Linked DNA regions of Drosophila melanogaster. Changing the gene in region 1 together with any one later gene gives a genetic interaction. Each region holds a gene or a part of one and is shown on either strand. Other genes may lie near its edges.

Evidence for each region.
Region 2: of TBPH (region 1) and Ufd1, changing one enhances a phenotype caused by changing the other (phenotypic enhancement), as found in Drosophila melanogaster (one study listed by BioGRID).

Annotation. Positions count from the first base shown.
Region 1 is NT_033778.4:23,858,374-23,864,289, reverse strand, and holds TBPH (TAR DNA-binding protein-43 homolog), read left to right. Parts: upstream 1-1,696; 5' UTR 1,697-2,843; coding exon 2,844-3,084; intron 3,085-3,146; coding exon 3,147-3,457; intron 3,458-3,514; coding exon 3,515-3,719; intron 3,720-3,774; coding exon 3,775-4,403; intron 4,404-4,462; coding exon 4,463-4,600; intron 4,601-4,672; coding exon 4,673-4,744; 3' UTR 4,745-5,223; downstream 5,224-5,916. Other genes in the region: Cpes (ceramide phosphoethanolamine synthase), read left to right, coding at 1-1,120; bgcn (benign gonial cell neoplasm), read left to right, coding at 5,591-5,916.
Region 2 is NT_037436.4:11,121,189-11,124,909, reverse strand, and holds Ufd1 (ubiquitin fusion-degradation 1-like), read left to right. Parts: upstream 1-1,693; 5' UTR 1,694-1,861; coding exon 1,862-1,988; intron 1,989-2,045; coding exon 2,046-2,869; 3' UTR 2,870-2,928; downstream 2,929-3,721. Other genes in the region: mRpL2 (mitochondrial ribosomal protein L2), read right to left, coding at 2,929-3,347, 3,504-3,721.

The DNA.
Region 1 (5,916 bases):
CATCTTCTACGTTTTCATGGACGTGGAGCTCTACCTGCGCATCCACAACTATGCCATCGAGAGGAACTATCACACGAATGTCTCGCTGCCCGCCTCCGTCGTGGGTCCGTCCACCTCGGAGTCCGGGTCCGGCAGCATCGGTGGTAGCAGCAGCAGCAGCAGCAGCAGTAGCAGCAGCACCAGTACGAAACTACCCACCGCCGGCGACCGGCAGCCGTCCTACGAGGACCACACCTGGATATCCTGTGATATAAATCCGCTTTGCCATGTGACCGTGAAGGCCATTCTGTTGGACCACACCAACCACTACCTGTTCGCCCCGCTGGCCACCATGTTCGACAACGTGATCGGCTTCTCGCGCTCCACCTTCATCACGCCCAACATGATATCGTTTTTCCATGTGGGCGTGGCCTGTCTGGCGGGCAAACTGGTGGCCTCGGACAGCCTGGGCTATCGGCGGCTGGGCGTGCTGCTCTTCCAGATCCGCACCTTCCTGGACGACCTGGACGGGCATGTGGCGCGCGTGCGCAAGCACATACGCGGCGAGCGCTCGGAGATCGGCACCTCCGGCTACTATGTGGACGGCCTGTGCGACGGACTCGGCTGCATTGCGCTGCTGCTGGGCATATTCTTTTACCTGAAGAACAATCCACCGCGGAGGGGCTACTCGATCATACCCATGAGCGACTCCAAGCTGCCGGAGCCCACCATGATGATACCGAAGATGAAGGCCACCACGCGCAAGGTGGCCAAGAACGTGATCAGCTTCACGGGCCAGCTGCTGCTGAGCTCGACGGCGTGGAATCGCTACATTGCCGTCTACCAGAACATGCTGGAGCGCGAGGACGTGAGCGGCAACCAGTCGCATTGCCAGGATTACGTGTTCAAGTCGACCTGGTTCTTCTGCGTCGCCTGGATGTGGCGCATCGTCAACGTGCACGCCCTGCTGCACTGCGTCCTGCTGAGCATCTTCTGCGACAAGCTGTGGGACTTCCTGCGCGCGATCCGGTACAGCGGTTACATTATCCTGTTAGTTGCTATATGTTTAACTGAAATGCACATTCTGGAGGCCCAGAACTACATTTTCAACTCTACGGCGTGCAGTAATATTTCACTGTGATTTTACTAATATTACGAGAAAATACAATAATATTTGTGTAGTGCAAATCAGCGATGCCTTTTTTAATTGTGTATAAATAATAATGTATCATAATTGTTAGCCAATCATTAATATTTCGAAACCAACTAATGCATTTTGTCATTCAAGCGCGGTCTGCAAGAGCAATCGAAACTCCTTCAGCTGTAAATAATAAATGTTATTGATTAATAAAGTCTAGCTGTTTTTATCGTACGCATTTCCATGGCGAGCTAATTTCGTTTGAATTTATTTATAATGTTTTGTGTTTCGAAATTTCAAATGAACACGATGCGCAATGCTGCCAAGTTTTTTTTTGGTATAGCTGATGGGCAGCACTGCAAGGTTTGGTATTTTATTCGACAGTACCAAATGCCAATATAATTGCCATATTGTAATGTAATATATTGCTTAGATATTCATAGTGGCAATCAACGCTCATATAGTTTAATAAAGAGGCTATTAAAATTTATGTGACAATGCACTGTTTTAACTAAAAATAATACACTTTTAGTATATCTACCCGCCGGCTGGTATTTCTCACTAGCCCTGTTCGGCCACACTGCGCATACGTCAGGCGATACATACAAAGGAAAAGAAAATCAAAACGGAAAGCGAGAAGAAATGCTTCACTCGTCGTTTGAAAATTTGTTAAGCTGTCAATTGTAAATATTACCTGATTCCTATTTCGCACCGATTGAAAGTGGTTGTGCATCGAAGCGTGTGTTGTGTCAAGAACCGAGCGTGGAACGTACAGTGAATACCTGATTTTGCCTGGGTGTGAATCGAATTCGTGTGAGAGAGCGTGCGATCTGAGATCTGGGATCAGAAATCTATATCTACTTGCCATACGCAGTCAGAAATTACAGCAACCAACTAATCCCTGTCAATAGTGTAAGAATTGTTGTGTAACCAACCATCTTTTAGGACCGCCAAACTGCCTCCGTCTACACATTATGTCCTCCCCTCGACGATTGCGTTTGTGTGCGTGTGTGTGTGTGCCACACACTTGCACTCACACACAGACGACAGGATTGGATATTTTCAATTTATGTGGCTTTCATTCATTGATTTTCCAATTCCTGCCGCGATTCCACACTCACAAACGTCAGTTTACTCGTATTAAGTGGGTGAAATATCTGTTTTCTTGAGTAGTTCAAAACATATACATATGTATGCCATACATCGTAAACTTGGGATTGGGTATTCTTCTTTTGTTTATTAACTAAATGTACGTAGAATAGGCATTTAGCCGATGGTGGGACATAAGTAGCGTCTGATTCAGAGAATTTTTAACTAATAATAACGTAAAGAAACGCCTAAACATGAACACTAATAATATATGAATATGTTTGTAATACTTACTAAAATTATATCATCGAAATTACAAGAGATAGAAACATTGTTTATTTGTCGTTTTTAGTAGATTGACCTAGTGTAGGATCCTTTTTGTTTTGGCTTGGTCCCACGAGCAATGTGTGTATAGAGTGGTTCGGGGCAACCTTTTTGTGTTGAATATTGTACCTTGGGATGCATCTGAATAGAACGGATGAACTGAGTGAGTGCATTCATGAATGCAGCGATGCAGAATATGTGGGATGCTTCCGTTGACTGAATGACATGGTGGATCATTTCTAGAGCGAAGTGTGAGCCCCTGCGGCGATAGAGTTCTTTAATCCCCTCCTCGTTTCTAGCAGCCTTCTAGGAAATGGATTTCGTTCAAGTGTCGGAGGAGGAGGGCGACGAGCCCATCGAGCTGCCGGCTGAGGAGGATGGCACTCTGCTTCTGTCCACACTGCAAGCTCAGTTCCCTGGATCCTGCGGTCTGAAGTACCGCAACCTGGACACGAAGGCTGTGCGCGGAGTTCGCTCCAACGAGGGCAGACTGTTTCCGCCCAGCGTGGAGTCCGGCTGGGGCGAGTACGCTTACTTTTGCGTCTTTCCCAAGGGTAAATTCGAGTTGTATGACTCCCTGTTGAACCTTAAATAATTCTGTAATCCCCCCCTGCAGAGAACAAGCGCAAGAGCGACGATAACTTGGAGAACTCAACTGCCAAGACCAAACGCATCGAGACCCGTCTGCGCTGCACTGATCTCATCGTGCTCGGCTTGCCGTGGAAGACCACAGAGGAGAGCTTGCGTGAGTACTTCGAGACCTACGGCGAGGTGCTGATGGCCCAGATCAAGAAGGACACCAAGTCGGGCCAGTCCAAGGGCTTCGGTTTCGTGCGCTTCGGCTCTTACGATGCCCAGATGCGCGTGCTCACCAATCGCCATCTGATCGACGGTCGCTGGTGCGAGGTTAAGGTGCCCAACTCGAAGGTAAGTCCTCTTGTTAGCCCTGCAATTTCACGCCTACTAATCCTTCTATTCTCATAGGGCATGGGCCACCAGGTGCCTTGCAAGGTGTTCGTGGGCCGCTGCACCGAGGACATTAACTCGGACGACTTGCGCGAGTATTTCTCCAAGTTTGGCGAAGTCACTGATGTGTTCATTCCCCGGCCCTTCAGGGCCTTTAGCTTTGTAACCTTCCTTGATCCCGACGTGGCACAGTCCCTGTGCGGAGAGGATCACATTATCAAGGGTGAGTCACTGCCGCGTGGAGAAGAATCAGGGAATTAATGAGACACTTTCCACAGGCGTTTCGGTCCATGTGTCGAATGCTGCTCCAAAGGCCGAGCAGAACAGAAACCAACAGGTCCAGAGCTACAACTACAACTCTGCCAACAGCTTTGGCATGCACTCATACCACCCACAGGGTAACCACATGAATCCGGGCCGCAACGGACACCACCGAGGTAATAACCAACACAATGCTCACGGCGGTGAGAACGCAATTGTGCCCAATAATCACAACATTGGCACCGCCGGCTACGGCATGGGTGGCAACAATTACGGCGGCAACTCGGGCGGGGGCTACCACAACAATGGCGGCAATCACTCCAGTGGCGGGAACACGAACCGCCAGGACGGCGGCAGCCAGTACAACAGTCGCCAGTCGAATTTTCACGGAATGAACCAGCCGCATAACGGCAACGTGGGCGGCAGCAACGGCTGGATGAACCGTGGCCACCTGGACATGCCCAACCTGCAGGCCCTGGGCATCAACTCGCAGGGATCGAGCTCCTCCAACCAGGGCCAAAACATGAGCAACCAGTCAATGCTCAATCTCAACTCATTGCCCATCAATCCCGCACTGGTCGCTGCCGCCTTGAACCAGTGGAGCCTGGTCGGCAACCAGCTGCAGAACCAAAACCAGGACCAACAGGCAAGCCTTCACACCTCAATCATTGTTTCAAACAAAAAACTCTCTCACTTGCTCCGCAGGGCGGCAATTTTCTATCTTGGATGGCTCAGAACGGGGGCCACAACAATGCCAACAACTTTGGTGGACGGAAGGGGCCGAATAACCCGAACAACAATCCGGCCGCCAACGGAATAAAGACCGACAACTCGGAGCCACAGGTTAGAGTCAAAACTGAAACCATCCCCTAAGAAACCTGGATCCCAGCCAGAATCTATTCTACTCTATTCCAGAATGGGAACACCGGTTGGTCGAACCAGAGCAGCGGATCTCAAAACGCCGCGGAGAAGTCAAACTTTCTTTAAGGCGGTGCCTGTCACCCAATGATGTGGTTAATGTGGTTAACCAACACCTCTGTAGCTTACTTAAATTTACATATATGTATTCCACATACAAACCAGTTAAGAATTGTATTTAATATGTAATAGATATTTTGATAATTGTAAACAAGATGACACTGGATGGCTAATAACACAATTGATAAAACACACTTCAAAATAAATTCTGCGCCAAAGCTCAGTAAAAATTGTATCATTGTATCACTTAAGTAGAATTTGATTTGTATTTTGTTGTTTATTAAATATATTTTGGCTTACGCTAAGAAAGTTTAGTTATAAAGATTGTGCACTTATAATGCTGGATCTGCGGAGAATTTCCAATATAACAAAGTTTTCTTTAAGATATCTAAACGAATTTGGCGCAGCCTCATTTTAGAGGAGAATTCATTTAACATGTACATTCATTTCAAAAAATAAAGAATGCAAAAGCATATTAGTACAAAGTGAATCATTTCATTTGAATGGAATCTATGGGATTGTGAATTGAATATTTTAATATATTCCTGTAAAGGAAACTCTCCCGTCTTGGAAACTTATCTCTTATTCTTTGAAAATAACAAAGTATGTTTTATAATTCAGTTTGTAATGACACCTGGATCTTTTTTTTTTACAAATTTCCACTACACATTTGTTTGAGTATATGCAAGGAATACCCTTAATGAGCAAGCTTTGCGCCAGCGAAAATACAGCCCTGTGTTCCATTCCGCCATTTTTCTATTTTCACGACGGTGGCAATAACGGAACTTGCAATTGCCGCGCGCATTGCGGCGCACTTCACTTAATTTAGTGTCAATCTGTTTGAAGCTAGCAGAAATGAACCACATCATCCAGGACAAGTACATTCCGCAACAGCTGCTCTACTTCTTGGCGGGACGGCGCTGCTGCCAGCAGTTCCCGTGCACATTCCGCACCAGCGAGCACGAAGCATTCGCCAACAACGCCCGCTCCTTGGGGCTGCGATCGCAGGTGGTCCATGTCAACGGGAATAGCTGCGTGAAGGTGTACAAGCAGGCATGTCGCCACTACCTGGAGGAGCCCAAGACGCTGGTTTTGTCCTCGGGCGCTACGCTGAACATGTTTACGCTGCTGAGCAGGAAGTCCTTGATGGGCAAGGAGGATTTGGAGCTTTACGCGGACCT
Region 2 (3,721 bases), on another chromosome or scaffold:
TTCGAAATTCTGCAGCATGCGTATACACAGATTTTTGGGAATTTTGCTGCTTGTGTCGTTGGGCTATTTTAAAGTTTAAATGCTTATCGGAAAAGCTGCTCCATTTCGTTGGCTGTGCGCTTGTTAAATTTAGTTCCCAGACGCAAAAACTGTACGTACACAACAAGATGCCGGAGTTTTTCTTCTACCCTTAGTACTTTGCTCATCACAGTGCGACTTGGCTATAAACGATTGTATTCTAATTTGAATTTTCAAAAGAGCAGGCGATTTCATTTCACAATATTTCTTTAGCTTTGCAAAGCGTAAGCAAGTGTCATGATAACGAAAAGTGGATTTTCCCAGAAATATTTATAAATAATTTTGATAAGTTTACACAGAAAGTAAACTAAGTTTTTAGCGGAAGTGCAATATAAACAACATTTTGATTCTCGAAAAGAGGTTATCTTTAAAATCAAAAACAGAAATCGTTGTGAGTCCACTTATAAGTAAAAACTTTTGGAAACTGGAATATGTTGGGCCATAGAGCGCTTATTAAATGAATTTACAAAAATTTGCAAGGATGCAACTGACGCCTTAAGTTAGGCTTCATTATTTGAAGCCAGCTTGTGAGTCACTGGAATTTCATATTCTCTCGATTTTAATACGTTTTACATGACAAAGACAAAAGATGGGTAAATTTCACAATAGAGGGGGGTGGGGCTCTTTGTTGTGGGGAAGTTAGGGCGAGAGCGAAAGAAAGGCGAAGAAAGTGGGGAGCATGATGGCGAGGGGAGTGTCTGGAAGCTGCCAGAAGAGACAAGAGAGCGGGAGAGTGCGCATCCTCTCGCTCTTTTCACCTTCTGTTCGGTGTTTCTGTTGTTGTTCTTGTTTTTGGTGTGGCTGCAGCTGCGAAGCAACAATAACAACCACAACAGAGACTCGAAAACAGCTGCACACGAAAACGGTGGCTGTCAAACTGTTTTGCAAAATTTAAAATGTAACTGTACTTGGCAAAAACAATACATTTTGCTGTATTTCTGTATGTCGTAAAAGATCTTTCGACCTGGAAGCTGGAGAACACTTTTTCCAGCCACTTGGCCACCACCCCGCCTTTGAACAAACCAACCAATCGATTGGCCAGCTTATTGATTTTTCTATTCGAACATTTTGCATTTGTTGCTCGTTTCGGTCTTTTGCTTAGTGTGTTTGGTTCGAAAAAAGTATTGGCAATCATGTGGGCATCGACATACACACTTTTTTTTTATCACACCCACGCGAAAAACACGCGGCGCCAGCCAGACTAAAAGGATACAGGCAGCATATCCTGCACACACACACACACACGCGCGCACAAAAAAGCTCGCCAGGATCGAGTGGTGCAGTTGACCAGCAAACCGCAGCTGCTGACAGCCAATTTTGAGTAGCGGAAACAGTTGGAGCTGCTGCCCCGAAATGGGTACTCACTTGATCAGCAGCACTTTTTCGAATCAATATACCCGTCTATTCAATTTTTTTTTAAGCGGGACGAAGTCGCGCGCAACCACCGGCTTGCTGGGTTTGTTAGAGATGTGCCGATAACTCGCCACTGCGATAGCTCGAGTTGCTACTTTTTGTTGTACGCCACGCGCTTGGGATTTTAGCGAAATATGCGTGCCACAACTTAGCTTGTGCCGCAACCCCACACAGTGCTGCCACCTGTGGGCGAAAAAGTTACGTCTACATGGTGTTCTGGTCACACTGCCCCCGCCGTGACAAACAAAATAGAAAAAAAAATAAAACAAAAGATAAAATTTTAGCCTCCCCCCTTTGAGAAATAAAGGGTCATTTGAGGCAGTTTAAATCGAAAAGAATCCATAGGCACGGAGAGCCCAGCACACATAGAATGTTCCACTTCAGCGGCTTCAACATGATGTTCCCGGAGGGACGCAATTTTCATGCCAACTACAAGTGCTTCTCCGTATCCATGTTGCCAGGAAACGAGCGAACCGACGTGGAAAAGGGCGGAAAGAGTGAGTTACGAGTGTAGGCTGGACAGAAATTATGTGAACAACACATTCCATCCACAGTTATTATGCCTCCCTCGGCGCTGGACACGCTCACCCGCCTGAATGTCGAGTATCCAATGCTGTTCAAGCTGACCAACGTCAAGAAATCGCGATCCTCGCATGCCGGCGTACTCGAGTTTGTGGCCGACGAGGGCAAATGCTATCTACCCCACTGGATGATGGAAAACCTGCTGTTGGGTGAGGGCGACATACTCAACATCGAGAGTGTCTCGCTGCCGGTGGCCACCTTCTCAAAGTTTCAACCGCACAGCACCGACTTCCTGGACATCACCAATCCCAAGGCGGTGCTGGAGAATGCATTGCGCAACTTTGCCTGCCTCACCAGGGGCGATGTCATAGCCATTAAGTACAACAAGAAGGTCTACGAACTGTGTGTCCTGGAGACAAAGCCCGGCAATGCAGTCAGCATCATTGAGTGCGACATGAATGTGGAATTTGAGGCGCCAGTCGGCTACAAGGATCACTCCGAAACGCAGGCATCGGGCTCTGGGCAGCAGGGTGCTGCTGGAACTGTTGGCGGCGAAATCGCTGGAGCCACCAACGCCATACTCGAAGAGGTCGTGGAGACCTTCAAGGGTTCCGGCGTACGTCTCGATGGTAAGAAGAAGAAGGAAAGCCAGTTGGAAACGCCGGTCGTTAAGAAGGTGCTAGCCCGCGGCGTTCCAGACTATGATTTCCAGTTTGGACTCATCCGTTTCGATCGCAACATTCGGCCTATCAGTGATAGAAGCCAAGAAGATGATGCCGTAGCTGGCAATGCGGACGCTTCCGATGCGGAGAGCTTCCACGGCACCGGTTTCTCGATGAAGAAAACGCGCAAATAGCTCTGTATCTCTAGTTCTAGTTATATATTGTGTGACACATAGAAATTAAAGGAAAAACCTCACAGGGGCAGCGTCAACTTGATGGCCTCCTCCTTGGGCGGAGCCGGTGGCGATATGGTGGTCATGGGCGGCAATCGGCGTATCTTGCGTCCGTGTTTGCCTTCCTTGCGCTTCCACAGACCGGAACGTGGTCGATTGCCCATCTCCCGCATCCGCTGGGCACTGCCCACATGCTCCTTGTTGTGTTCCGGGTTGGACAGGCGACCAACCGTCGCCATGCAGGTGCGCTGGAAGGCGAACTCCCGCTTCGAGGGCAGCTGCACCACCACCTTTTCGTCGAACTTGCGCAGAATGGTGCCGAAGGTGCCGGCGGCATGGATCAGGTGGCACATCTGGCCGGGGTTCTTCTCCAGACAGTGAATGCGTGTGCCCACGGGCAAGGCGCCCAATGGATAGGCATCGCCTTCGTTGGGACGCACTATGGGATCATACAAAAAAAAAAAATTATATTGGCATAACTGGTTGTTTCAGAGCCAGTAAAATTTCTAGATTCCATGCTCAGTTTAAGACTATACTCAGAGGATTACTTAGAAAACGTTTAATACTCCCGATGAGTAACAGTAAGTAAATTTACCCGGAATCCTAGGAATAAAGCGCGAGGTCTTGAGGATATCGCCAGCCTTCATGTTCTCGGTGGCCAGGATGTACTTCAGCTCATCGCCGACGGCAACCAGGGCCACTTTGGCGGTGCGACAGCCATCGCGTAGCACCTCGAGTACCAGTTCCTCCTGGGCGCCCTCCGTGGGACCATCCCGCACCCATTTAACCCAGCGATACTGCTGTTTGATGCCT